Linked DNA regions of Drosophila melanogaster. The protein of the gene in region 3 interacts with the protein of the main gene of each other region in a pairwise test. Each region holds a gene or a part of one and is shown on either strand. Other genes may lie near its edges.

Region 1 (7,651 bases), on a different chromosome or scaffold from region 3:
CCGTATTTATTAATAAAATACTTATTAAGAATATTTTAGTGTTAATAAAAATATGTCCAAATATTTGCAGTTCTTTTATGATCGAATATGGCAATGGCTTAATTAAACGTCCTTTTCCTCCATGATGATAAAAATCAAACCTAAAAATAAATAACAGCTTAAAATACCGGTGGAATATTTAAAGAAAAATAAAAACACAAAAAGAGAACCAAAATACCTTAATATCCTAATTAATACACGTATCGAGATCCACGTTATGTTTGTGTGAGCACGCAGTACATCATCAGTAGTATGCAAAGGATTGAAAATGCGAACCATGCCATTACAGGGATTCTGAGGGCATCTAGTGACCACAATGATTCATGACCTTGAAATGGGGTACAGCCCTTCTTAAGCTGAAATGTATACATTAGCATCCACACAGAAAAATACCCAGGATACGGCTTAACGCCCGCTTTATACTTATTGCAAAACCAAGCGATATCCATTGAATGCTCTCCTTCCGAATTACGGAAAACTATACTCAATTTCCCGAATTAGTTTATTTCCGAAAGCAGCATAGGTCTAAACTTCATAATTAGTATAAATGTCACCCAATGATTAAGTGTGATGTATTGGTAAGCCCAAATGCTAGCATCAAATTCCTGATTTCTGGACTTAGTTTTACTACATTTATACCCGTTGCTTTAAGGATGACGCACAAGTAAAAAATAGAAATAATAAAAAAGAGTAACTGATGACGATTGGCAATGAATGAATGAAGCCCCAGGACATTCAGACAAAGATGAACATTGGTAATTTCTTTATATTTTTTTATTACACATAGTCATAATACAATTCGCAGGTGCTCAGCAAGTGGCGATCAACAGCGTAGGTAATCCACCTGTTCGCTGCTTTGGAAAGTGATTTCCCAGTACAATTTAGTTAAGCTTCAATACAGTTTTCCTTCGATTCGCGTAATGATGATGTGCATATAATTTAGCTTAAAATTACTCAAATACAATATTGCATATTTTAAAGTGCTGGGGCATCGCGGTACAACTAAACGAGACATTTGCTTTCTTATTGTTTAAAAAATAAAATGGTACAAATTGCGTTGAAAATTCAGCTTGGTTGTGATGGTGGAGCAAACCTAAACTACGAGAAATTTCGGCAAACGAATTCGATGGGAAAGCGAATGTGTGATGGGAATGGAAAGCAGGTGCGGACATTTACAAAAATACATATATGGTATTCGGCCACTGTTTAGAAGTCGTACGAGTCGGTCTCATCATCGCCCTTGCGTACCTTGAAGATTAATCTGTAGATGATTCCGGCCAACAGGCCGCCGGCAATGGGACCCACCCAGTAAACCCAGTGATAGGTCCAGACGCCCTGCACTACGGCGGGACCAAAGGACCGGGCGGGATTCATGCTGGCACCGCTCAGTTTGATCTGTAAATGGTACACTTATTAACCTCCAGTCGGAGAACTCCATCACCTCGTACTCACTGCACACAAATGGCCAGCGGCGATGGCCAAACCAACAGCCAGTGGCGCTGATCCCTTGATATCCTGGCGTCCAGGATCCGAAACAGCCTTGACCACGAAAACCAAAATAAAGGTGATCAGCGCTTCGATCAGCACCGCCTGTGCACAGTTCAGGGAGGGATCAAAGGAGGATACTCCCAGGTCGCCACCAGCCACTCCATCGAGTGCCACCTTTATCACAGCCGCTCCAGCAATGGCGCCCACGCATTGGACGATGATGTAGAAGGCAGCCTTCAGAATGCTGATCTCACCAACGATCAGGAATCCAAGGGTGACCGCCGGATTAATGTGACAGCCACTGAGGTGGCCCAAGCCCTGAGAGAGAGAACAAAATAAGAGGATATTCAAGAATATATTTATTATAAGGCTCAATAAAAGAGGAAAAAAAGTATGAAGATCAAATCAAGGAGGCTAAGGCCCAGTCGAACATAATGTAGATAATGGCCTATCTCCACCTCCATCGGCGCTTGCAAATGTCGAGTTGACAACGCAACATCTTAACCATAGCTGCGCTCAAAGTTTGCCCTTTGCCATGAAGCTGATTGTGCGATTTTCCGAATTTTCCATTGCACAATATCGTTGCATATCGAACTGCCAGCGGATACAAGCAATTTGTCAGACGTGAGATGCACTCGAGTGCATTTATTGTGTTTAGCGTGTCTGCAAAGTTCAGGTGGAGCTGGCTGGGAAGTAAAAGTGATTCGGGGTTCTGTTGAGTCATTGCCCGTGAAGAGATCACATGGAATCACTTAAATGGAAATCGCATTGGATCGGATCGCCTCGCATCGCATCGCATCGTATTGGATTGGATTGGATTGGATCAAGTGTTATGAATGGAGCCCGAAATGCACTGTTCACTCTGCGCCCAAGGTCGATGTGCAGGCTTCTATGTTTGATATCTCTTTCCAGCCGTGTTTCTCTACGTTTTGGTGATACGAATTCGATTTCGATATGGATTTCGCGGTTCGCAGTTCGCATTGGACGCACGGCCAATGTCGTGCGTCGCTGTGCGTTTAATTAATAAATGCGCAAAAAAGAAAAAAACAAAAAAAAATGCCCGTGTGTTGGCTGTTCGGCCACAAAACGCTAATTACAAATGCCGCCAAGAGCAAGTTCGAGTCGCGTTTTGCGGCCCAAACGGCAATAGGCCACAAATCCGAGCAGCCACTACAACTCGAACAACTTCTTGACATTTTGGTTATGCGCATGCGTGCAGCGCAATTTCGACTTCGTCTATACTAAGACTAAGTTGCCGCCTTTGCTGCCGCCACTCAGCCTGACCTAATCGTTTGGATCTAAAGCTTTTAGCCACAATAGTTTAGGCCTATTGTTCTCGACTCAATGCCTCCACTCGTCTTAGCTGCACACACTCGAAGAGTCGTGAAATTAATCAAATTTATTGTCGAGCCCGAAACCCATAATTAAATTTAATATATGCAACGAAAGCAATCGAGATCGACAGACCGGCTGCGTGTGAAAACCGCGAATGACGGACTGACTGAACTTAGACGTGAGTCATCGATGAAATATGGCTCTAATCGAGTTAGGCCTATGTGATTACGCTACGAGTTTATTACGCATTTCGAATGGGTTAATTACACTATGTGACTTTTTAGTTCTAAGCCGATCTAATTAAAAAATGTTAAATATATTTTTAATTTTTATGAATTATGAATTGCATTATGTTTTTCTGTGTATGCAGATAACTATACCCACATGCTGTGCAGAGCGATAAGTCGTACATAGTACCTATCTCTTATCATCATGCAGCGTCAGATTTTCTGTTTCTTTCTTTATTGGATTTCTTTCTAATATACTTGGTTTCGAAGCATTTAAGTCAGTCTGTTTTTGGCACTCGGATTTAAAAGATCTCAGAATCGCAGCAATGCAAAAATCTATTATATTTTTGGTACTCCCGTTGTGTCTGAGTTCAAGTTATTCAGCAGCCTGCGAGGTGAGTGAAGTAGAGAAGTGGTTTAGAAATGCTAAATATTTACATTCACATATCTTCTTAGGGCGTTGAAAGCGATTCCCAATGTGCTGCATATTGCTACGGTGTCTTGAATCCCTGCATCGCGAGCATGGGCAATTTGCAACGAAGGGTTGAAGCCTGTGAAGCAGCTGTTGCAATAGCGAGAATAGCCCTAAATGACCGAAGACTGGACAATTTTGGCACTTCAACGAACTTGCAGCTGGAAAATCAAAATACTTCGCAACAACTGCTGACACACGGTACAGCAATGGGCAGAAAACTGGAAGAAAACGAAATTTTCCAACAACTGGGAAGCAAATACTACTACATCGAAAAGGAAGAGAAGCTAAACTGGCACGATGCTTTGGATAAATGCCACAAAATGGGTGGCCATCTGGCCAGTCTGCAAAGTCAGGAGGAATTGGATAGATTCAATAACCAACTTAATGGCCTGAATCGCTACTGGATCGACGTGACCAATCAGTTCAACGAAAGTGAATTCGTTTCTGTGACCAAAGGATCGAAGGCCAATTTTTTGAGTTGGGCCGATGGGGAACCCACAAAAGATGGAGAGTGTGTGGATATCCGAACATTCAATGGGAAAACTACCATGAACGATAACTCATGTTTTGCCAATCTCTATTTTATTTGCGAAAAATCTATTGAAATATAATACAAAAATATTTATCTCTTTGAAGTTAATATTAGTTTTTGATATCTGACATTTACCACATGGTTTATGGAGGAAATAAGTATAATGTTTATTTCAAAACGAACAAGTTGGAATAAGACTTTATTTACGAATATACATATAATCCTATATGAATTGACCACTATTTCATTATTTTGTGTCAGCACTCTCCGTGCTCTCAAGGTTTTCCATTGGCTACAAAAAGTCTGGCAAGACTCTTCCCCCGATCGAGATATATAAGTTAAGAACCCTCTTCTTGCGCTCTTCGTCAGGACTCACCAGCGCTCGGCTCTCGTGTTTTCGGGCCCCGTCAGCAGGCGACTCGGGGCCTGTCTAGTAACATGTTCGTGTAAGTTACGAACCCTCTTCTTGCGATCTTCGTCAGGACTCACCAGCGCTCGGCTCTCGTGTTTTCGGGCCCCGTCAGCAGGCGACTCGGGGCCTGTCTAGGAACATGTTTGTGTATGTGTGCATTCGGAACAAGTGCCGTTGGTCGCACTCAGGGTGAGGGGTCAACGGGGGAAGCGGATATAAAAGCAGCGGGGCGGGAGAAGAGGCCCCAGTGTCGAACGGACACATAACGGAACCGCTAGCAGATCGCGAACTGAATCTTAAAATAAAGCTAATCGTAAACTCGAACCCTCTTAACTATCTTGACTATTATTTGGAGAACCACAGCATGTTGGTTGTCATATCGAGGTGAGGTATGCGGCAGCGAGTGCCGAGAACCCTGATGCAAGTGGAACTTGCGTTAACTGGCGCCCGAGCAGGGACCGGCAATGTCCGGCCGATAAAAGTGATACGAAAAAATTGTGGAAATTTGTGCGTAAAAATAGTGGTGGTGTGCATAAGTCAGATTAAGATCTGAAATCCATAAATGAAAAAGAAGTGCTGCGTGAGCTGTGTATAAAATGATAAAATAGCAATTACCCGCTGCCGGGGGGAACTACGCCCATCCCGGGGCGCAACAAATATTGCATAATTCAATAAAAGGTGTAAAATTTCTAAAATAAAAATGTAAACCTATGTTGCGCCAAGACCTAATTTAAATTAATAAAACAACGACCCGCTACCGGAGGACGCCACGTCGCCCATGCCGAGCGCAAAAGTTGTACGATACCTATAACATAATTAAAACACGATCAACCCACTGCGGCGGTACGGCTTGTGGGAAAATTTTTTTTTTCTCTCCTTGCCAATTCGCGAGTGCAAAAGATTGTGTATAATAAACCAATAATTAACCATTGCAGCAGTTTACCTGCGGCAGTACGAGTAATATGAGCGCCCAGAGTGATAAGGTGGTGTGTGGCAGCTTGTTGGATACGTTAAGTGGTGTGGAATGCACCCAAAAAAAAACCGCCCAACAAGTTGTGTGGCGGCCGTACCTTAGTAGGCAACCAGCCAAAAGGGATACTACGGAACCACCGTGCCCAGTGCCGAAATAAATTAGAGGTCATCAATAAAAAACTGTAACAGCACGCACGCAAGGAAAAAATATTGCAAAATGGAATAGCGCACAAAAATTGTATAAACACATGCACAACACCACAATTCAAAGGAAAACAAGTATAGTACAATTTCCCCAATTTCCCGAAACGAAATGAATAAAAATTCTCTACAATACACTAATTCACCTTTTTTTACTTATCCCAATAGAATATTCATGCTGTAGGGGTACAACCTAAACGACGAAAACTAATAAAGAGCATACAAGGGTGAGTGAAATATTTCATTAAACTTTATTGCCATATTTGCTAAATTTAGAGAAATAAAGAAAAAGCAAAGAAGAACAGATATTCTTTTTTATCGGGTTAAAACCGTTGTCTCACATTTCCGTAAAGTAATAACAGTTAAAACCAGATCAGGAAAAATTTTCCACAAATCTGATCTAAGAAATTGAGACGTGGCTTTCACATTTAAAAAAGAAACGCGAAAAAGAATAACGAAAGTAATAAAAGTACGTTGTGGCAGCTAATGAAATATTCCCCCCATGCATACCCTATATAAAAAAAACATTAGTTAAAAAAAAAAAAAAAAAAAAAAAAAAAAAAAAAAAAAAGAATGAGTTAAGAAATACAAAAAGAAATACAAAAAAAACTATAAAAAAAATAATATAAAAAAATACAGATTATAAGAAATAAGAAATAAGAAATATAAAAAAATAAAAATATAAGTACACAAAATGTACCGTACCCCCACACACTACGTAGTCTTAGAACAACTTAGACGACCAGATATTTACGAATTGTCTTTTTGTAAGCGCGATTTCTGCATGCGGCGCAAATCCCGCTCACTGGACTGGCTGGGGTCGGCTTGGAAATGGGTAGCTGGATCTCCAGATGCTGCTGATTGGAACGCCGTCTTGGCCGCGCAAGCGACGGCTTCGAGGAACTGCAAAAACTGGAGGAGGCTAGCTGTATCCCTCGGCTACTGAAGTAACCAACGAGTGGTTAAGCAAGTCGACGATGGAATGCTCCTCCTGACCAACTTCAACGGAACTCTAAGAACGGCTGCAGAGAACTACGACCTGATCGGCTCCTTTATCATCCAATTCGACAATGAGACGATAATGGTCAACGGTCAAAACTATTCCAGTTACTCGGTCAGTCATCTAATGGCGATGCCGGCCGTGTTGAGCCACATAACGGCCAGCAACTTTCAACTTTCTCTGGAATACGTCCACGACGTGAGCATGAAGAATTTGGAAAAGATGTCCAACATGGCGAGTGAGCTACTAGCCTCTCTTCTCACCGAGGCGGCACTCGCAATCTGCATATTCCTAGGCTTTTATTTCCTATGGAAGAAGCTGATGTCCACCAAAGGCATGCCCGATGTCCGCGAGATTGCCGCAAACTTAGAAGCATTGGGCCAAACCGAGCTGAACAAGGCTCACTAATCTGCGGGACGCAGATCTTGAGGGGGGAGGAGTTAAGAACCCTCTTCTTGCGCTCTTCGTCAGGACTCACCAGCGCTCGGCTCTCGTGTTTTCGGGCCCCGTCAGCAGGCGACTCGGGGCCTGTCTAGGAACATGTTTGTGTATGTGTGCATTCGGAACAAGTGCCGTTGGTCGCACTCAGGGTGAGGGGTCAACGGGGGAAGCGGATATAAAAGCAGCGGGGCGGGAGAAGAGGCCCCAGTGTCGAACGGACACATAACGGAACCGCTAGCAGATCGCGAACTGAATCTTAAAATAAAGCTAATCGTAAACTCGAACCCTCTTAACTATCTTGACTATTATTTGGAGAACCACAGCATGTTGGTTGTCATATCGAGGTGAGGTATGCGGCAGCGAGTGCCGAGAACCCTGATGCAAGTGGAACTTGCGTTAACTTATATGTATATACGTAGACATACAACATAGAGATCGATTGGCTTACGCATGTGCAGTGGAAATCGAAGCTCGACATTTACGCTTAAATCATATTTTATGGCTTTTCAGCTGAAAATCGAATGCTAAC
Region 2 (9,360 bases), on a different chromosome or scaffold from region 3:
TGAATAAAAATGGGTATATTATCAGCGGGGGGAGTAATAGTTAGTTAAAAAGATTGTTCTACCAAAGAGCAAAAAATAGTTCTTTATAGTTTCCTTAAATCACAAAAGTAGACGTACATTTCCCAAATTTTTTCCCAAATCCAACATTTCACTTATTTTCAACTTAGTTTATTTTGTTATTGTTCTTAAAAATGTATTTATATAGAGGATGTTTAAAAACACCATGTTTTAACTGTAAATATCGGTCTCCTCCTTGTTGATAAAACGTTTGCTTTGTTGCATACTAAAGAATTTTACAACACTGATTTCAAATTTTAGCAATATTATCTATATACTTGTATTTAAATCACATAGTTTCACATTTTTGACTCTCTTGACTTGTATTATAAATCATGAAAATTTGAATCTTTTGATTAATGCATTTTTTAGATTTGCTTCACTCTGCAGCAATCACTTTTTCGATCTATCTATGGATTCTGTATCTAAATATCTTTCTACTGAGGAATCAAAGAGTTTCGACGATTTTGAGATAGAGCTAAGGTTAAATCTGTTTGAAACTGTGCATTAGGGGATTGCCCAAGCGAAACTAATGAGAAGCCACGTTGGCACTAAGGTGAATGTGAATGTGGGTGTTGATGTGGGTGTGGATTCGAATGCGAATGTGGATGTGGATGTGAGTGTGAATGTGAATGTTCAATGCGGAATGTTGGATGCTAAATGCTGAATGTTGGGCACCGGACAGTGAAGAGCGTTCCGAGGCCACAGCCCACAATTTTAATTTGCGCTAATTAGGCAAGGACAGACATTTAGCGGTGACAGAGAAATGGTAGAAAGCAGATTCAATTAGCTGAAAAATCCTATTAAATAATTAATATTCATTAGGTAAGAAAGACGATTGCGAATGCGATTGTTAATGGTAATGCAGATTCGAATGTCGCCGAGTAGTTGCAACAATCGAATTAAGAATCAATTAAAAAAAATTCAAACAAGATTCCAAAAAGCAACACTAATTTCGAATATTTCTCAACTGTTTTTTTATCGGCTTCGCCCGCTTTGGATGCCTTAACCTTCTTGAAGTAGTCACATGAAAAAAAAGAACTGATGTTGCACCTTATATGGTTTATTTAATCACACCGATGGATTTATCCGAAAATTCACTCGTCCGTCCAGAATTCAGCAATCGTATGCACCGAAAGATAATCAGAGACTAAAAAGCAGAACCGAACATAATTTATAGGATCAAAGGGGAAAATTGGAAGCTGCGCTGCTGACGCCAGTTATTGCATACACTGAGCGAAACTCGAAGCTAGAATCGCTCTCAAAAATATATAATTTGTGACAATTTCTCTTAAATGTAGTTTACACTTAGCTTCAAATGATATTCGAGTAATGTTTTTGTTTTGTATCATACGTTTTTCTAAGTGTAGTCAGCTAATTTGTTTAAGTGTTCGTTCGTGCAAATTAAATGTTTGCTTTTACTGCAATTACTGTGATTTCTCTTTTGCCCCAGCAAGCAATCAGTTTCAAATTACTTGTTTCAAACATAAGCTTATGCAATCCAGGGATATTGAAATTGTGCTCGACTTCAATAAAACGTAATATAAATAGTATCTTATTGGCAATAATATTATATATGATAAGTTTTTTTTTTTTTTTTTGACTTTGCCTGTTTCCAAAATATCAAATGCGTATACATATACGTGAAAATTCCGACTAAAATTTAATTAAGCGCTTAGTTGCGGCGGCTGCAGAATCAACAGGTTCTGCACAATTTCCAAAGGCTTAGCAATAATTTATTGAATTTTCCCTTATATGGAGGGCATCCTGAAATTTGGGTCATTTCGGCGAAAAGGCAGTGAGTAAATTTATTGCCGCAAAAGGAGGCGACAGTGGCCCACATGGAAAATTACAAGGAGTAAAAGGACTAACGAAAAGGATAACAACGAGAATGGTTTCAATTTATAAAACAACAACTGAGAAGTAACTTATTTTCAAAGTTTTGTCATAACATTTAATTGCATTAAAAAGATGAATGCATATCACAATTTGCGTATGGCAAGCGAGAGTGTTTGAATTATCTAAGAAATTTCAGCTAAATCCAATTATATACTTTTAAAAATGTAATAAACAAGCAACTTCGACCAATAGAAAGCTGTATCCAAACAAAGTTTATTCACCAGCCAATGACATTATTAGTGCAAATGATTTTATGTCATTCGTTTAAAAACCGGTCAAAAGTGCTAAGCTAATATGGCATAAATAATATATGCAAGTATTGTATAAACATGGTAATTTATATTTGTAGCAGAAAAAATGGTATGCTTTACATATAAATATTTTAACTTAACTATTTATACTTTTAGAAGTTTTAGAAACCTTCATAAGTTAAGTTTAAACCAACAGACATAGTATAGTATAATAATTGCGCACAATTGTAGCATACTTTTAGACAGTTCTTCGTGTGCTTTAATAACTCTGATGATATATTACAAATATATGGACCATTTTTCAGAAACACACCACCCAAGCAATTCCCAAGCATAAGGAACTTGAAGAGTTGAGAATGCACATTTTAAATACATTGTGGCATACTTTTGGGCACCTTGATGAGTACTTCTCCAGGCCAAGTGGCTGGTCGCATACATATGACAACATCTTACCAACAAACACAACTCAAGTCGCATAATTTAAAGCCCCAAGATGAGATGAGCCCCCATGATGATGATGAAGGGGCGATGAAGATGAAGATGAGTAGATGAGCTGAGGTCCCTAACTACTGGTGTATCCTGTTAATCTATTCTCCGGATGGCCACATATTTCCCTCGCTGTCGTGGGCGTCCACGGCCGAAACGGACTCAGAATCAGTCTCAGATTCAGTCTCAGATTCAGTCTCAGATTCAGATTCAAATTCAGAAACAGAATGCGAAACAGAAACCTTGGGCAGACACACCAGACAGCGGCAGCTGACAGGAAAATAAATAAATAAAGGGATGAAAATTAAGGACGCGAGAGTCGTGGTCGTCGGCTGGCTGGCTGACTGGCTGGCTGGCTGGCTCTCCAAAGACCGAATGCGCAGCCTCCGACTAGACGGCATTCCAAAGATGGGAACTGCAGACATGTGTGCGGATGTGGATCTGTGGGCCAATAAAATGAGTTATTCCTCTTGCCAGCCACACAATTTTTTGTCTGCTGACTAATGATTGCACTCATTGTGCAACTTTGCCAATTAAAACTTGATTAAAACTATTCCCGATCAAATGGAGTAACAACAGCACGGAAAGCTGAAGCTCCATCGTATAGTGTTTCCCAATTTATTCGTTTTGACAAAACTTTCATTATTATGTTTCTCAAAAAGTTGGCTCACTCCATGATACCGACAAGTTTTTTTGGCAGTATCTGACTCACTAGCATTGGGCAGCATTTTGTAGTTTTACACACGCAGAAAAGATTTACTCATACAAAGCCGCGTTTTGTAAATGATTTCAACTGTTGTGAATTCTGAATATCCTGACTATTTATTGAACAGGCAACAAGTCAAGCCTTGATTGATTATATCAAATCGTAGGTCATGGCTTCTAATCTGGTGCAGAGCCATAAGTTTGCCACTCGAAGAAAAATTCAAGGATTCCGGAAACTAATCAAATACCAAATGTTTGTTAACAGGATATGAAAAAATAATGTTTTCCCTAGCATAACCAGTTTTAAAAGATTTTTTTCAGTCCGTTAAATGTATGCAAAGAAAACTGTATTGTATTCAAACCATTCATCTTTAGTTTCCCTCACAAGTTCATTCCTTTTTCTTCGTGTGTATAGCAGCATTGTTATTTGACCTAATCTGTGTCTTTGCCCCATTGTTTTGCCGCGTTTTGATTTGTGCCCCCAATAAGTCCATCTGGAGTCAATGTGCTACCAAACGATAGGGAAGTTCGAGCTTCGAAGGATGCGTGGTGGTAGGTAGGGCGATCTAATCGCGGAGCTCTTCTCCTTTATGGATCAGCAAACATTTGGGCGTTGTCACACTCGCGAATGCGGAATTCCGACACCATTTCTTTGATTGATAAACAAATTGCCCGCTGCTTGTTTACTTTACTGCCAGCGCAGATTTCTCACGAGTTAACCAACCATTAAACGAGAACTCACAAACTCAAGGACTCAGCAGGGGGAATCATCCTGGAATCACTTTGCCATCATCTCAAATCCGGTTACGTGTTTCGTTTGGCTGGCATGGGATTATGCGGTGGATTTAATTGTTTAAAAACAATCGAAAGCACTGGGGCACGTTGAGATTTGAATTGCCGTGCACAACTGCGGGTGGTTAGATGGGTCAATGGCAACGCATGCCCAGACCCCCAAATAATTGTGAACAAATGTGTCTTCAGTTGGCGTTGGTGGAGGAGCGCACCATTGCAAGCGACGCTGAAAAAGGCGATGATGTCCTGACACACTTCGAATTGCCAGAGTCCTTTTGCCAAAAAAAAAAAAAAAAAAAAAATTCCAAATTCCTTCGCATGCCAATGGAGCGGCATGGACAGAGAAGGGATGACGAGATGGAGAGACGGTGAGACGTCGAGATGGAGAGAGGATATCCAGATATGCATTGGAATACAAAGTGTGGGATAAAAGCATTTCTGTATCGCTATTATTCATTGGTCATGCGCAGTCAGCCGCGCCTCATTTCCGCTCGAGAGTCGGGAGTTGGACCATATTCGCAATAATAGTAAGTATGTTGGGCATGTGGTGTGTGTTTTGGACCAAGTATACATTTTCCCCTCCCCCGTATAATTACGGCCATAAAGCAATCCAACTATCCAGCTAGCCAAACTATTTCAGTTCCATCTGCCAGAGTTTGGAATCCTTGAGGCCATGTACATATACCGAAATATACTATATATATATATATATATGCATGGGATGTGTAGCGATTTTTGATAGATATAAAATACATAAACGTAATTGCGGTACTCACCAATGGAAATTCGGGAAATTCGAAAAAAATCAAAACCAGAATCCATTGAAACAGTAGTTGGAGAGTAGTTATGAATTATTTGTTATCCGTTTTGCGTTTAAGTTTGCTTTTAAGTTTACATTGTACTGCTTTATGAACACACTCAGTTTGTTATTTTGGCCAAACAGTAAAAAAAATATGCAAAAAATTTTCATAAAATATGTATTTTATGATCTTTTCATCCTTACGCCATCAGCATATACATATACACGCATATATGTGCACATATATAGACATATATATATATTTATTCTATTTTTGTATTTTCCATATTTGATTTGAATGTGCTGATTTAGTAGCCGATTTTAGAGCTGCGTTGCGTTGCGTTTCGTTACGTTACTATATCAAACATTTGATTCTGAGTAGTTATTTGTTGGGTTTTCACATTTTGCCCACCCGTTCGGCATTTCGTTTTTCCTCTTTTCTTTTACTTTTTTCCATATATATATATATATACATATATATATACGCGTATGTATATATATATATTCTAAGTTCACGGTGTGTTGGGATTTGAAAACGAATTTCTTTGTTAATATATATATATATATATATATATATGTATATACTTTTGCCTGGGCTGGTTGTTCAGTTGTGTTTCTGGGGTATTTGTTGGATCTTTTTGGGCGCCGACTCGGGGATTATTCCTCAATAAACTATTGCTCCGCTGGCTGCGAACTATACGGCTATTTCCTGCATCTGCACTCTTTTCTGCTGCTTTCGTATTTCGTTTTGTTTGTTTGTTTGTTTTTTTTTTTTTTTGGTTTTTGTATGTTTTTTGTGTTTTTTGTATTAATTTATTTTATTTTTTTATTGCTGCTGCTGCTTCTTCTATTAAAAACTATCGCCGTGTCTCGTGCCTCGCTAACCGCTTTCCGCAATTGCAAACAACGTTCTAAAGCTCTCGAACACGTCTGCAGGATTTTGGCCAGGCGAAAAACGATTGCCTCCAACCGGAGGCAAACCAGGCAGCCAACCCAGTCGACCAGCCATTCTTCAGTCAGCCAAATACGACGCAGTCGCAGAGCACCGGAATCTCAACTGGGAGATTCCCAATCCCGGCCATCCCATCCCATACCAATATATCTCAAACCAAGCCCAGCCGAGTGGCCACATCTCTCGCTCTCCGCTTCTATTGTCACGTCACAATTCAGCATCTTGGCTCTCTCGGGCTGTGTGGGCCACATCCTTTTGGTCCTCGGATGGATGTTGGTTGGTGTTCGGCACTCAGCCGCTGGCTCTCTCGCCGAAAGTCGGTAAAAAAAAAATCCACTCCTTGGCCCCAACGAGTCTTACAATCCGGGTACGTCTGTTTATGTCCGTTATGTGGAGCAAAAGGGTATATTGTATTCGTGCAAAGGTGCGTAATTGTAAAAGGAAGTGTAGTATACACCTACGCCTCTACATACGTTTCCATCTAGCCGTGTCTGTCTGTCTCTCTGTATCTCTGTCTGGCTGCCTGTCTATCTGGCCGTCGAGATCTTGGCCAGAACAATGGACAGAGAACTGGGTCCACACTGTTCCACGCCACAGATTGGCCACGCCCCCGTCGTCTAATTGAATGAAGCTATATCCTTCTTACGCCCAGCTAGCAGTGACCTGATTTAAATTAACTGGTTTCGAAATGAAGTTTGGGCGAATGAAAGCCTAAAAATAAATACAGACCGCATTGTTAGCCAACATACATAAATGGAAAATCATGGAAAATTACAATGAAATAATATGTATAAGAAATTGAAAAAAAAATATATATATATCTAAAAGTGTTACGGATTTCAGGCGCAGGTTGCATGTTTATACTTTTAGTTTTGCTTTTTAATTTGAATATATTAAATTGAAAACAAAATTGAAATATGTGCACCTGTTTACCTGTTTATTTTTCGAGAGCAAAACGCACTTTGTTCTTCAAAATAAAGCAAAATTAAAATACACACAAGTAGTATAGTTTAATGGATTTCACAGGCACACACCTCCTTGGAAAATGCGTTTGATCAAAATTTCATATTCGGCACTTAATGAGGTGGTAAGTATATGCCTTGTGTGCAAACGCTTTCTAAAATATTTACTGTGCAATTAGGGTAAATGATTAAAAAAGTGGTAATTTTAGGGCGCAGTTGGTAAGCTATAAATGAAAGAAATGCCTTAAGATGTACCTAGTGCTGTGGCATTTATCAGATAGTCATGTTCTATTCGTATCCCTACAAAGCACTTAGCTTTCCCATTCAGTGCGTTTGGCTGAAACTGAATGGTTCTTGGCCATTAACCGAATCATCGAGGCCATGGAGGAGCCAATCCTTATTGGCCACCGCCTACATCGTGTGGGCGTGGTACGTCATTGCATCTGTGGGCATAACAATCAGCTATCAGACGGCCTTTTTGCTGAACAACCTTTCGGACATTATTATCACCACGGAAAATTGTTGCACCACCTTTATGGGTGTCCTGAACTTTGTCCGACTCATCCATCTTCGCCTCAATCAGAGGAAATTCCGCCAGCTTATTGAGAACTTTTCCTACGAAATTTGGATACCTAAGTGAGTCGATTCATTAGGGTTATTATAAGCGATGTTAAATGATCATCGCATTAAACTGCAGAGCATTGAAAACTATAGAGGTTTGCAATCTTACTTGAGTAAATGCGCAGAAAAGTGTGCTACATTGTTGTGTGCAAAAGAGCAAACTTTGCTTTCTAAGCATGCTTTTGGACACTTAAAGTGGTTTTGAGATAATATAGACTTTTGAGTAACTATACCCATCTTCAAACTGTATTTGTAAGAAAATCTTTATTTACATATATAAATATATGATGGGTTCCAGTTCTTCCAAAAACAATGTTGCCGCCGAGTGTCGCAGACGCATGGTTACCTTCAGCATAATGACATCCTTGCTAGCGTGCCTGATCATAATGTATTGTGTCCTGCCGCTGGTGGAGATCTTCTTTGGACCCGCCTTCGATGCACAGAACAAGCCGTTTCCCTACAAGATGATCTTTCCGTACGATGCCCAGAGCAGTTGGATCCGATATGTGATGACCTACATCTTCACCTCCTACGCGGGAATCTGTGTGGTCACCACCTTGTTTGCAGAGGACACCATTCTTGGCTTCTTCATAACCTACACTTGTGGCCAATTTCATTTGCTACACCAACGAATCGCAGGTTTATTTGCGGGTTCCAATGCGGAATTGGCCGAGAGCATTCAGCTGGAGCGACTCAAACGTATTGTGGAAAAACACAACAATATTATCAGGTTGGTATCGTGCCAATATTCAATTACAATGATTCTATTACAATGATCCTATTACAATGATTCTATTACAATGATTCTATTACAACGATTATATTACAAATATTCTATCACAACGATACTATTACAATGATTCTATTACAATGATTCTATTACAACGATACTGTTACAATGATTCTTTTACAACGATTCTATTACAATGATTCTATTACAATAATTCTATTACAACGATTTTATTACAATAATTCTATTACAACGATTTTATTACAATGATTCATTTCAATGATTCTTTTACAACGATTTTATTACAATGATTCTATTACAATGATTCATTACAATGATTCTATTACAACGATTCTATTACAATGATTCTATTACAACGATTTTATTACAATGATTCATTTCAATGATTCTATTACAACGATTTTATTACAATGATTTTATTACAATGATTTTATTACAACGATTCTATTACAACGATTCTATTACAATGATTCTATTACAACGACTCTATTACAATGATTCCATTACATGTTACTTTGATTTTGCCAATAGTTTTGCTAAGCGCCTCGAGGACTTTTTCAACCCAATTCTACTGGCCAATCTAATGATTTCCTCCGTACTTATTTGCATGGTTGGCTTTCAAATAGTTACTGTAAGCATTGGCAGTAAATATTTTAATATAATGACTAGCTTTTCTTTCTAAACTTCATAAGGGAAAAAATATGTTCATTGGAGACTATGTGAAGTTCATAATTTACATATCCTCGGCCCTTTCACAATTATACGTTCTTTGCGAGAATGGCGACGCATTGATAAAACAGGCAAGAATGTAGATTGTTTTTTTTTTTAATATATTAATAAACTATTTCCGATAAACAGTCTACCTTAACAGCGCAAATTCTGTATGAATGCCAGTGGGAAGGATCCGATCGCATTGAGATACAATCGTTCACGCCAACAACCAAGCGAATCCGAAACCAGATTTGGTTTATGATCCTCTGCAGTCAACAGCCTGTAAGGATTACGGCTTTCAAGTTCTCAACGTTGTCCTTGCAGAGTTTTACGGCCGTATGTCTACAAAAAAAAAATATATATATATATATATA
Region 3 (7,797 bases):
AGGTCATTCAATGTTTGTCAAACATGATAACCTTGGCTTATAATTTATGAATTTTCCAATAATAAGCCTGACCAAGTTCATAAATTACACGGCGTCTAAGCTGAAAGTGCCCATTCCCGGTAGCAGCTGCTTTAAGGACATTCGAATCCTGCGAGCACGTGCAACTAGTTTGCTGATTGATTAAACCACGCAACATCGTCTTGAAAGGCCAGCAACTGTATACATACATATATACGTACGTACAAGAGCCAGGACGTTCCAGGAATTGTTATTAGATCGTTTGCTAGTTCGTCCGCCATCGTACTTTCGCAAAGTTGGTTCGCTGCGGATGCTGATTCCGATGGTGATGCTGATGCTGATCTGACGTGGACGGCACACGTGCTAAAGTCACTTTTAACGGAACAACACGGCATCACTTAACGCGCTCCCCGGTCTCGGAACAGCGGTAACCCCCAACCGCCAATCCCCGACCTCTGACCCCGTGACCCCGCCCAGTTCCCAATCCCGAAGCCCATGCCCATTGACTCGGACGTGACAAGTGCGGGCAATGCGCGATATCCCAGCATGGGCCACGATTCCTGCTCATTGTCATGTGCAGCGCATAAAGGGGCGGCTTCGCTGAATGGTGGGCGGGGCCCGGAGGATGTCGAGTGGCGCCCAGGAATATCCAATATGACAGCCCCTGGCGAAGTGAAACCGAAAGTCAAAGCTAAAGCCATTCTTAAAGCATATCAAGTATACGCACTCAGACCTTCGTTTAAGTCAAGCATGCCATAAAATCAAATTCCCAACGTGCTGATGAAATTACTTGCAAAAATATTTAACAACTCGAGTGCGAGCATGCTAAAAATCCCAATTGTTGTCAGCAGGCAAACACTCGTTTTGTCCTGTAGAAACATTAGACAATTGCCGAAATGTACTTGGCCTCCGGCAAGTAACAAGAAAACATTAAGGCATAACCCACTCCCATCCCAAATGAGAAATTGTTTGCCTCAATTAAGCAAGAGCGCTAGCCCACTCATCTGAGCATATTTCACACAACAACCACTCAACGGGGTGCACCTACTACAAAGTAGGTATTATGTAAATATGTTAATTCCCTCTCGGCCCGAAGACAAAGCCTTATGCTCGACCACCGCAGAGGGTCGAGTTCTGGTGACGTTTTCATTAGAAATGCAAATTGGCATGGCGACATCTTCAAGTTCAAGTTGCCGATAAATTTCGAGACGGGACTGGGAAAGCCCAGGTCAGCCAGGTGATAGTTGGATCAACCAGTTTGGACAACTTTAACGAATAAAAGTAGCTGGCTGGCCTCGCTCCATACTTGATTTTCCCTAGTCATTCTACTAAAGATTCATTCCGTTGTGAAACTGCTTTCATTACGTATACGCAGCGTTGGCCCAAATTTATGTCAACCAGCGAGTTGTGAACGGGCGCTATATTTAAGCCTATGTGTTCTTATTTTCTAATTACTATATATATGCATGTTGGCTGCGCCCGGTTCGCTGTGGGCGTGGTGTATCTGTAATTAGTGTTTTGCACACACATATTCATATCAAATGCCGGCATAGTCGCTGCTTAATAAATTAAACGACAATTTGCACTGGGACCGTGCTGTTGCTCGTAAAGAGTCCGGGATCCTGAAAACTGGGACATTAAGCTGGCATTAGGCAGAGGCAGGCCTGCAATTAAAATAAAATGGAGAGCTCAAGCGTCGACGACAATATGCACTATAAGGCAGACAAAAATGTGTTTTTTACTGCGCAGAATGCGTACTAAGGAGACCTCGAAAATAATTTATTGCCTTCTTGTGGGTGCCAAGGATCGCGCAAAAAGCCGCAAATTTATTTGCCGCTCTTATCGCTCTATCCATGTAGAAATAAAGCATAGAGCATATTTTTTTAATATTTTCTATATTTTTTCCTATTGTTGATTTCTTATGCCATTTTCGGCTGATGTGCACAAACAGAAATCTCTTGTATGGCTAACTTTTTAATAAATAATCTCGGCCATTTAGCTGGTTGCAAGCAAAAAATACATAAACACGCAAAATAATAATCAGCATCTGTCGTCGTTGCCGTTTGATTGTCAATACAAAATATTTATATCGCTAACACAATTTGCCAAACAAATTGGCCAGCTCGGCGAAATTTGATTTGATTTATTCCTTTCAGCACTCTCGGATAGGTTTTTTAAAATATTGCGTTTTTTTAGCATAAGCTTTAGTTTAGTTTCCATGGTTTGGTTCGGGTTTTTGCGCTTGAAATAATTGATATCGGCTATTTGCATATCAGATTTAATATATTTGCATATATTTCTTTTGCAAAAGAGAAACGATTTTGCGGCAAGCCAGTCAGCTTTTTGGGTAACATTTTTTGTTTTTTATTTGTCGCCAGGCATGCGGAAATAATTTTGGCAACTAAAACTCGTATCTAGAGAAGAATAGAAACGGTCTGCTCGTAAAAGAGTTCGAAAAGCCGGCAGCTCCAAACATTTTTGCAAAAGAAAGGCTAGAAGCAAACAAACTCGTTTAACTGGGGTTTAACTGGCAAATTTGTCGTTCGTAAATAAAGCTTATGATTTAAGGAAATTACTAATGCTCCAATTTATGGTGAGGCGACAGATTTGATTGGATTTTTGCACCTGAAAGGCACCGCCCGGTTTTGACACCAGCCAGGTGATAGCCGAATAAATTAAATGCACAATTTTATTCGTTTCGACATTCTGGTGGGTGCCAGTACAATGGCAATAAAATAATATAGGGGCAGTCTTGTTGTCTCGAAGAGAGAAAGACTAAAAATAATGGATAAAATAATAAACAGTGTCAGATTTTGTAAATAGATCGATTGACCCAAAAGGCCATTTACATAAAGTGGTGCCAGAAATTCCCTCCCGTAGATGTTTTTTGTCCGCTTGAGCCGTTTTTTTTTTATTTATTTATTGATACGCCAACGTCGTCCGACCGCTATTATCTTCGATTTCGTGCTGGAAACTCTTTTCCCGCGTTTTGACCACTTTTTATGTCGCTGCTGCGTGCATCTTTTATGTGCGTGTGGCGCCCGAGACCTTGAAATTGTGGCTGGGTTGTTTTATTATGCTTACATTTGATTAGTTTGCATATGACATTGCCACCAGCGACTAACTTGGCTGAGATGCTGGCCAATCGGCGAGCCGCAACAGTTGGCAGTGGGCAAAAGGTGGGGCCGCACACAAAGCCAAGACAAATTGTTTTTGACTTTAGGTTATTGCTTCGAATGTGAATCTTAATTGGATCCCGGCCAGCGTGGAATGGGGGGCATCATATAGCATCATTAGATATAGAACCATATAGAACTTGTGTGTGTCCGTCACTGAAAATGATATCATGGTTGTGATGTCTTAGCGGATTTCCTAACTGACCCCATCTTCGAGTTACTCATCGCTATAGTTATCCGTGATATCAATCAATATATATATTAGTCATAACCGCGATTGGCATTCGCCACTATTGATTTGCAAATCGGTTCGGCTATCTTAAATATGGATCTTGGGTATTTCTCCTAAATTATGCAAATCAAATCAGTTTTCAGCGGATTTGCTGCTGCCTCTACCCCCCTTCTGCTCGAAAACTTTGCCGAAATAAAATAAAAAACCATAATTTTTATGATATCAATAAACCATGATGAAAAACGTGATAATCGCTGATCAGATTAAATGGTCGCCTGGCGCCAGCTGATTACCGCCGAATTCCGAATAGCTTCGGGTGCTGGTCAACAGTAAAAAACCTCAAGGTCGCAACGGTTGTTAGCTTTATGGCTTCTATTTTGCGAAGCCGTGTTTTTGCCACAGGTTAAATGGCCAAGCGACGAGCTCCGGACAAATGGACAGATGGGCCGTCGGATAGATGGACGGATGAATGAATGGATGCGCAAAAAGGCTGGCGAAAATTGATTTCTATCCATTTCAGATCCATTGTTTTTCAACCCTACCACAGTCCACAGTCCAGTGTTCGGGTTTTATATGGCCAAACCCTAGAGCAGCCAGTTCCATACACCATACACCATACACCATACCATACCATATACCATATACAATATTCCAAATACCAAAGGGGGACGCAATAATCGCTGGGGATTCCCAGCTAGAAATATGCGGCTGGATCAACTAAAAAGTGTAGAAAAACCGAGTCGTTTTCGAACTCGTTTGGATGCTCCGCTAAATGTTTTAGCATACAAAATATGAAGAAAATCATTTCATTTACTGAAAGCATGACCATTTATAGTAGTGGCTTTTGCTAAACGAGTTTTCAGCCGTTTCCTCCGCCGAGAGCCTGCTCTATTGGATTACAACTTGACGGGTAGGGTCGTGTGCCTAAAAATTTTCGATGATGGTACTACGACTTGGACTGAGGGATCGTGGAATTAGCATAATGTCGACGCCAACATTTGCAAGAATAGGGCGGCCAGGTATCGATGCGCTTTGTTCACGTCGGCTTGGCCATTGTTTTATCGCACAAGCTTCGTTTTTCGAAGGTGGATAGCATTTCAAGAGACAAAAGCTGCCGAAGAAGTTACCAAAAAATGCTGCGGAGCCAACAAATACAACGATGGTAAAGTCTGCATGAACTTGAGCGCAGTTTAGTGACACCGATCGTTGGTTTTCGTATAAATATTGGACCTTTCGGTGATGCAAACGTCAGACACAACCAAGTGGTCAAAGTCAAAGAACTAAATTCAAAATGCGTGCCTTCATTGTAAGTATACGTTCGATCGCCGACGAAATACTCCAAAAGGATACCAAGGATTACAATGCTGTTTTCTTTATCTCCAGGTTATGTGCTTGGTGGCAGTCGCCTGCGCCGATAAGCTCGGCTACAACTACCAGCCCGTGGGACACTCCAGCTCCGGACTGTCCTTTGCTCCTGGAAGTGGCAGCATTGGAGGTGGCTCCATCGGAGGAGGCAGCATCGGAGGAGGCAGCATCGGAGGCGGCAGCATCGGAGGCGGCAGCATCGGAGGCGGCAGCATCGGAGGATCCATTGGTGGTGGTTCCATTGGAGCCAGCATCGGAAGCGGTGCCGGTCTGGGTGGTCTGAGCAGCATTGGTGGTGGAAGCATTGGCAGCATCGGAAGCATTGGTGGTGGTGACGCCCTCAGTGCCCCCGTCTCCTACAACGCCCCTGCCCCAACCGCCGAGCTGGAGAAGGAGTTCTTCACCTTCACCGCCAACGAGCAGGACTTCGATGAGCCCCAGCAGCTGGAGCGTGTGTCCTCTGCCCTGAACAAGGCCCTGCGCGTTGTCTTCATCAAGGGACCCGAGAACCGTGGCCTGGAGAACGCCGCCCTGGCCCTCGCCAAGCAGGCTGCCCAGCAGGAGACCGCCATCTATGTCCTGAACAAGCAGGCCGATATTGGAGATCTGGCCAACAAGCTGAACGCCATCCGCAGCAACAACAACAACAAGCCCGAGGTGCACTTCGTCAAGTACCGCACTCCCGAGGACGCTGCCAACGCCCAGCGCGCCATCCAGGGTCAGTACGACCAGCTGGGAGGATCCAGCCAGGCCCACAACGGTGGTGTTGCCCCCGTCCTGAACTTCGCTTCCGCCGCTCCAGTGCGTCAGGCCGCCGCCCAGAGCCCCGACAACTCCTACCTGCCATCTTCGGTCTTCCGTCGCGTCTAAGTCGCTCGTTTCACTCCTTTCGGAATCGAAAACGCCAGCGATTTTTGACTGATATTAAATCGTAGTTTTTGTTGACTAATGCTTAAATAAATTCAATTCTTAAATTTTAAAACCAATTTGACTTGTTGTAGTGCATTTGTAAAAACCAAAAAACTTTGCAGGCTGAGTTCATTGGGAACGAAACTTCGCAAGTTCGGATTTATTTGCAGCGAAATATTTTCTTGCAAACTTTGAAAGCGCACATAAGTAGAAGCACTTATATATTTCTTAGGAACTAGTTTATACTTTAACCATATTCAAAATTTAATACCAGTTTATGGCTGCTGAGATCTTGGGTTTTGAACAAGTATTTTTATTTCTTCTTTCTTCTTTCTTTCTGTTTTTATTCGATTATCGCTGCTATAAATAGGTATACAATTTATTTTGAAAACTGTTGCATACTTATGTTGCTTTCGTCAATTTTTAAAGGAATTAACCAAATGAAAATACAATAATTTACATAACCAAATTAGATAACTTTTATTCGAAAACAACGTTTAACAATCGATTTTCTAGTGACGCAGGCGACTCAGGATGTTGGCGGGTAGGTAGTTGCTCTGGGGCACCTGTTGAGGAGTAACGCGTGCTGGAGCAGCTCCCTGGGATGCAAAGTTGATGGCATTAGCCACGCCACCGTTGATGGACTGGCTGGAGCCGCCGAGTTGATCGTACTGCGATTGGATTGCCCGCTGGGCATTGGCAGCATCCTCAGGTGTCCTGTACTTGACGAAGTGCACCTCGGGCTTCTTGTTGGCATTCTGGCGCACGGCATTGAATTTCTGGGCCAGCTCGTTGATATCAGTCTGTTTGTGCAGCACATATATGGCAGTCTGCTGCTGGGCCGCCTGTTTAGCCAGGGCCAAAACGGCATTCTCGTAGCCACGGTTCTCCGGCGACTTGATGAAGATGACGCGAATGTTCTTCTTGACCGAGGCAAGAGCCCTCTGGAGAGCAGCCTTATCCTCGAAGTCGTCATCGTTGGCATAGAAGCTGTAGAACTCCTTGTGAACTGACGCCTGGGGAGCGGCACTATAGCTAACTGGTCCCGCCAGTGCAGGGACTGGGGATACACCACTGCCCCCAATACTGGTTGTCGCACCTTGTCCGTAATTATATCCGGACAAGCTACCGGCACTTGCCGCTGCCACAATGCTTAGAATAATGAGGGCACGCATATTGACCCGATGCCTACGAGATATTCTAGACGAATGAATAATATAGCATTCATTATCTACCTTTTATACCGCCAACGCGACGACGTTTAAAATTAGACTAGAAAATCTAGTCAATTGAGCCGTCTAGTCACTTTGGGGTCCCTCTGGCGGAACACGGCGATCATCGATCTCCGCTCACGAATCGTGACTCGCGAATGGCCAGTGGCTATTGGCCATCGGGTTTTCGGAATGCTGTTAATCTGCTAACATAATTTCGCTCTTAACACATTTAACACATTGTTGTGGGCAAAAGACAGCTTCAATCGTGCCGCCGACTGAGATGAGATTCCGAATCGAAGTCCGAGTCCGAGCTAAGATCCGATTGCGAGTCCAGTCGTTTTCCGAACTATCGTGATTCACCCATAATTGGCTTATAATTTATGCACAAATAAAAGAAAAATAACCGATCTCTTGGCTGTTTCAATCGGATTGTTTTGTTATATTTGCTTGAATATGTATACAGAACCGCTTATTTGTTAATGATTTCAACAAAAAAGTGATCGTCAGCTTAATAAAATTAATGATTAGACTTTGTTTTTATGGCTAATCAGGTTTCGATTGGGCATAAATCTTCATTGCCTTCGTATGTGGGTTGCACTTGAGATTCCTTTCTAATTGTACGTGACACACGACGGGCCTCGGAAACCAGGTCATCTAACAGTTGTTGGCATCTTCGCGACCTTGAGCTGTCGTCGGGAAAGAACCAGTTCCTCGTTGGCCGGGAGTCCGGTATTAATGCTTCCCGCTGGCCAAGTGGGTGGATCTAATCTTGTAGTCAATTAATTTGGCGGCATGCGAGTTGGCTATGTCAGATAATTAGTCCATTGATTTGTATGGAAAGTCTAGGTGAATATGATTCGACGAGGGCTTAAACTCATAAAGG

The links. Proteins that work in one complex are often made in the same cells at the same time.
Region 1: the proteins of TwdlM (region 3) and CG7763 interact in a two-hybrid assay, tested with the Drosophila melanogaster proteins (one large-scale study listed by BioGRID).
Region 2: the proteins of TwdlM (region 3) and mmd interact in a two-hybrid assay, tested with the Drosophila melanogaster proteins (one large-scale study listed by BioGRID).

The regions. Positions count from the first base shown.
Region 1 is NT_033778.4:11,411,141-11,418,791, forward strand, and holds CG7763 (uncharacterized protein), read left to right. Parts: upstream 1-3,369; 5' UTR 3,370-3,415; coding exon 3,416-3,484; intron 3,485-3,545; coding exon 3,546-4,175; 3' UTR 4,176-4,322; downstream 4,323-7,651. Other genes in the region: drip, read right to left, coding at 255-395, 1,288-1,434, 1,492-1,845.
Region 2 is NC_004354.4:15,967,239-15,976,598, forward strand, and holds the start of mmd (mind-meld), read right to left. Parts: upstream 5,830-9,360; 5' UTR 4,967-5,829; intron 1-4,966. Other genes in the region: Or13a (odorant receptor 13a), read left to right, coding at 7,187-7,539, 7,823-8,254, 8,807-8,906, 8,968-9,075, 9,134-9,322.
Region 3 is NT_033777.3:26,614,450-26,622,246, forward strand, and holds TwdlM (TweedleM), read left to right. Parts: upstream 1-4,668; 5' UTR 4,669-4,717; coding exon 4,718-4,732; intron 4,733-4,809; coding exon 4,810-5,661; 3' UTR 5,662-5,775; downstream 5,776-7,797. Other genes in the region: TwdlP (TweedleP), read right to left, coding at 6,213-6,875.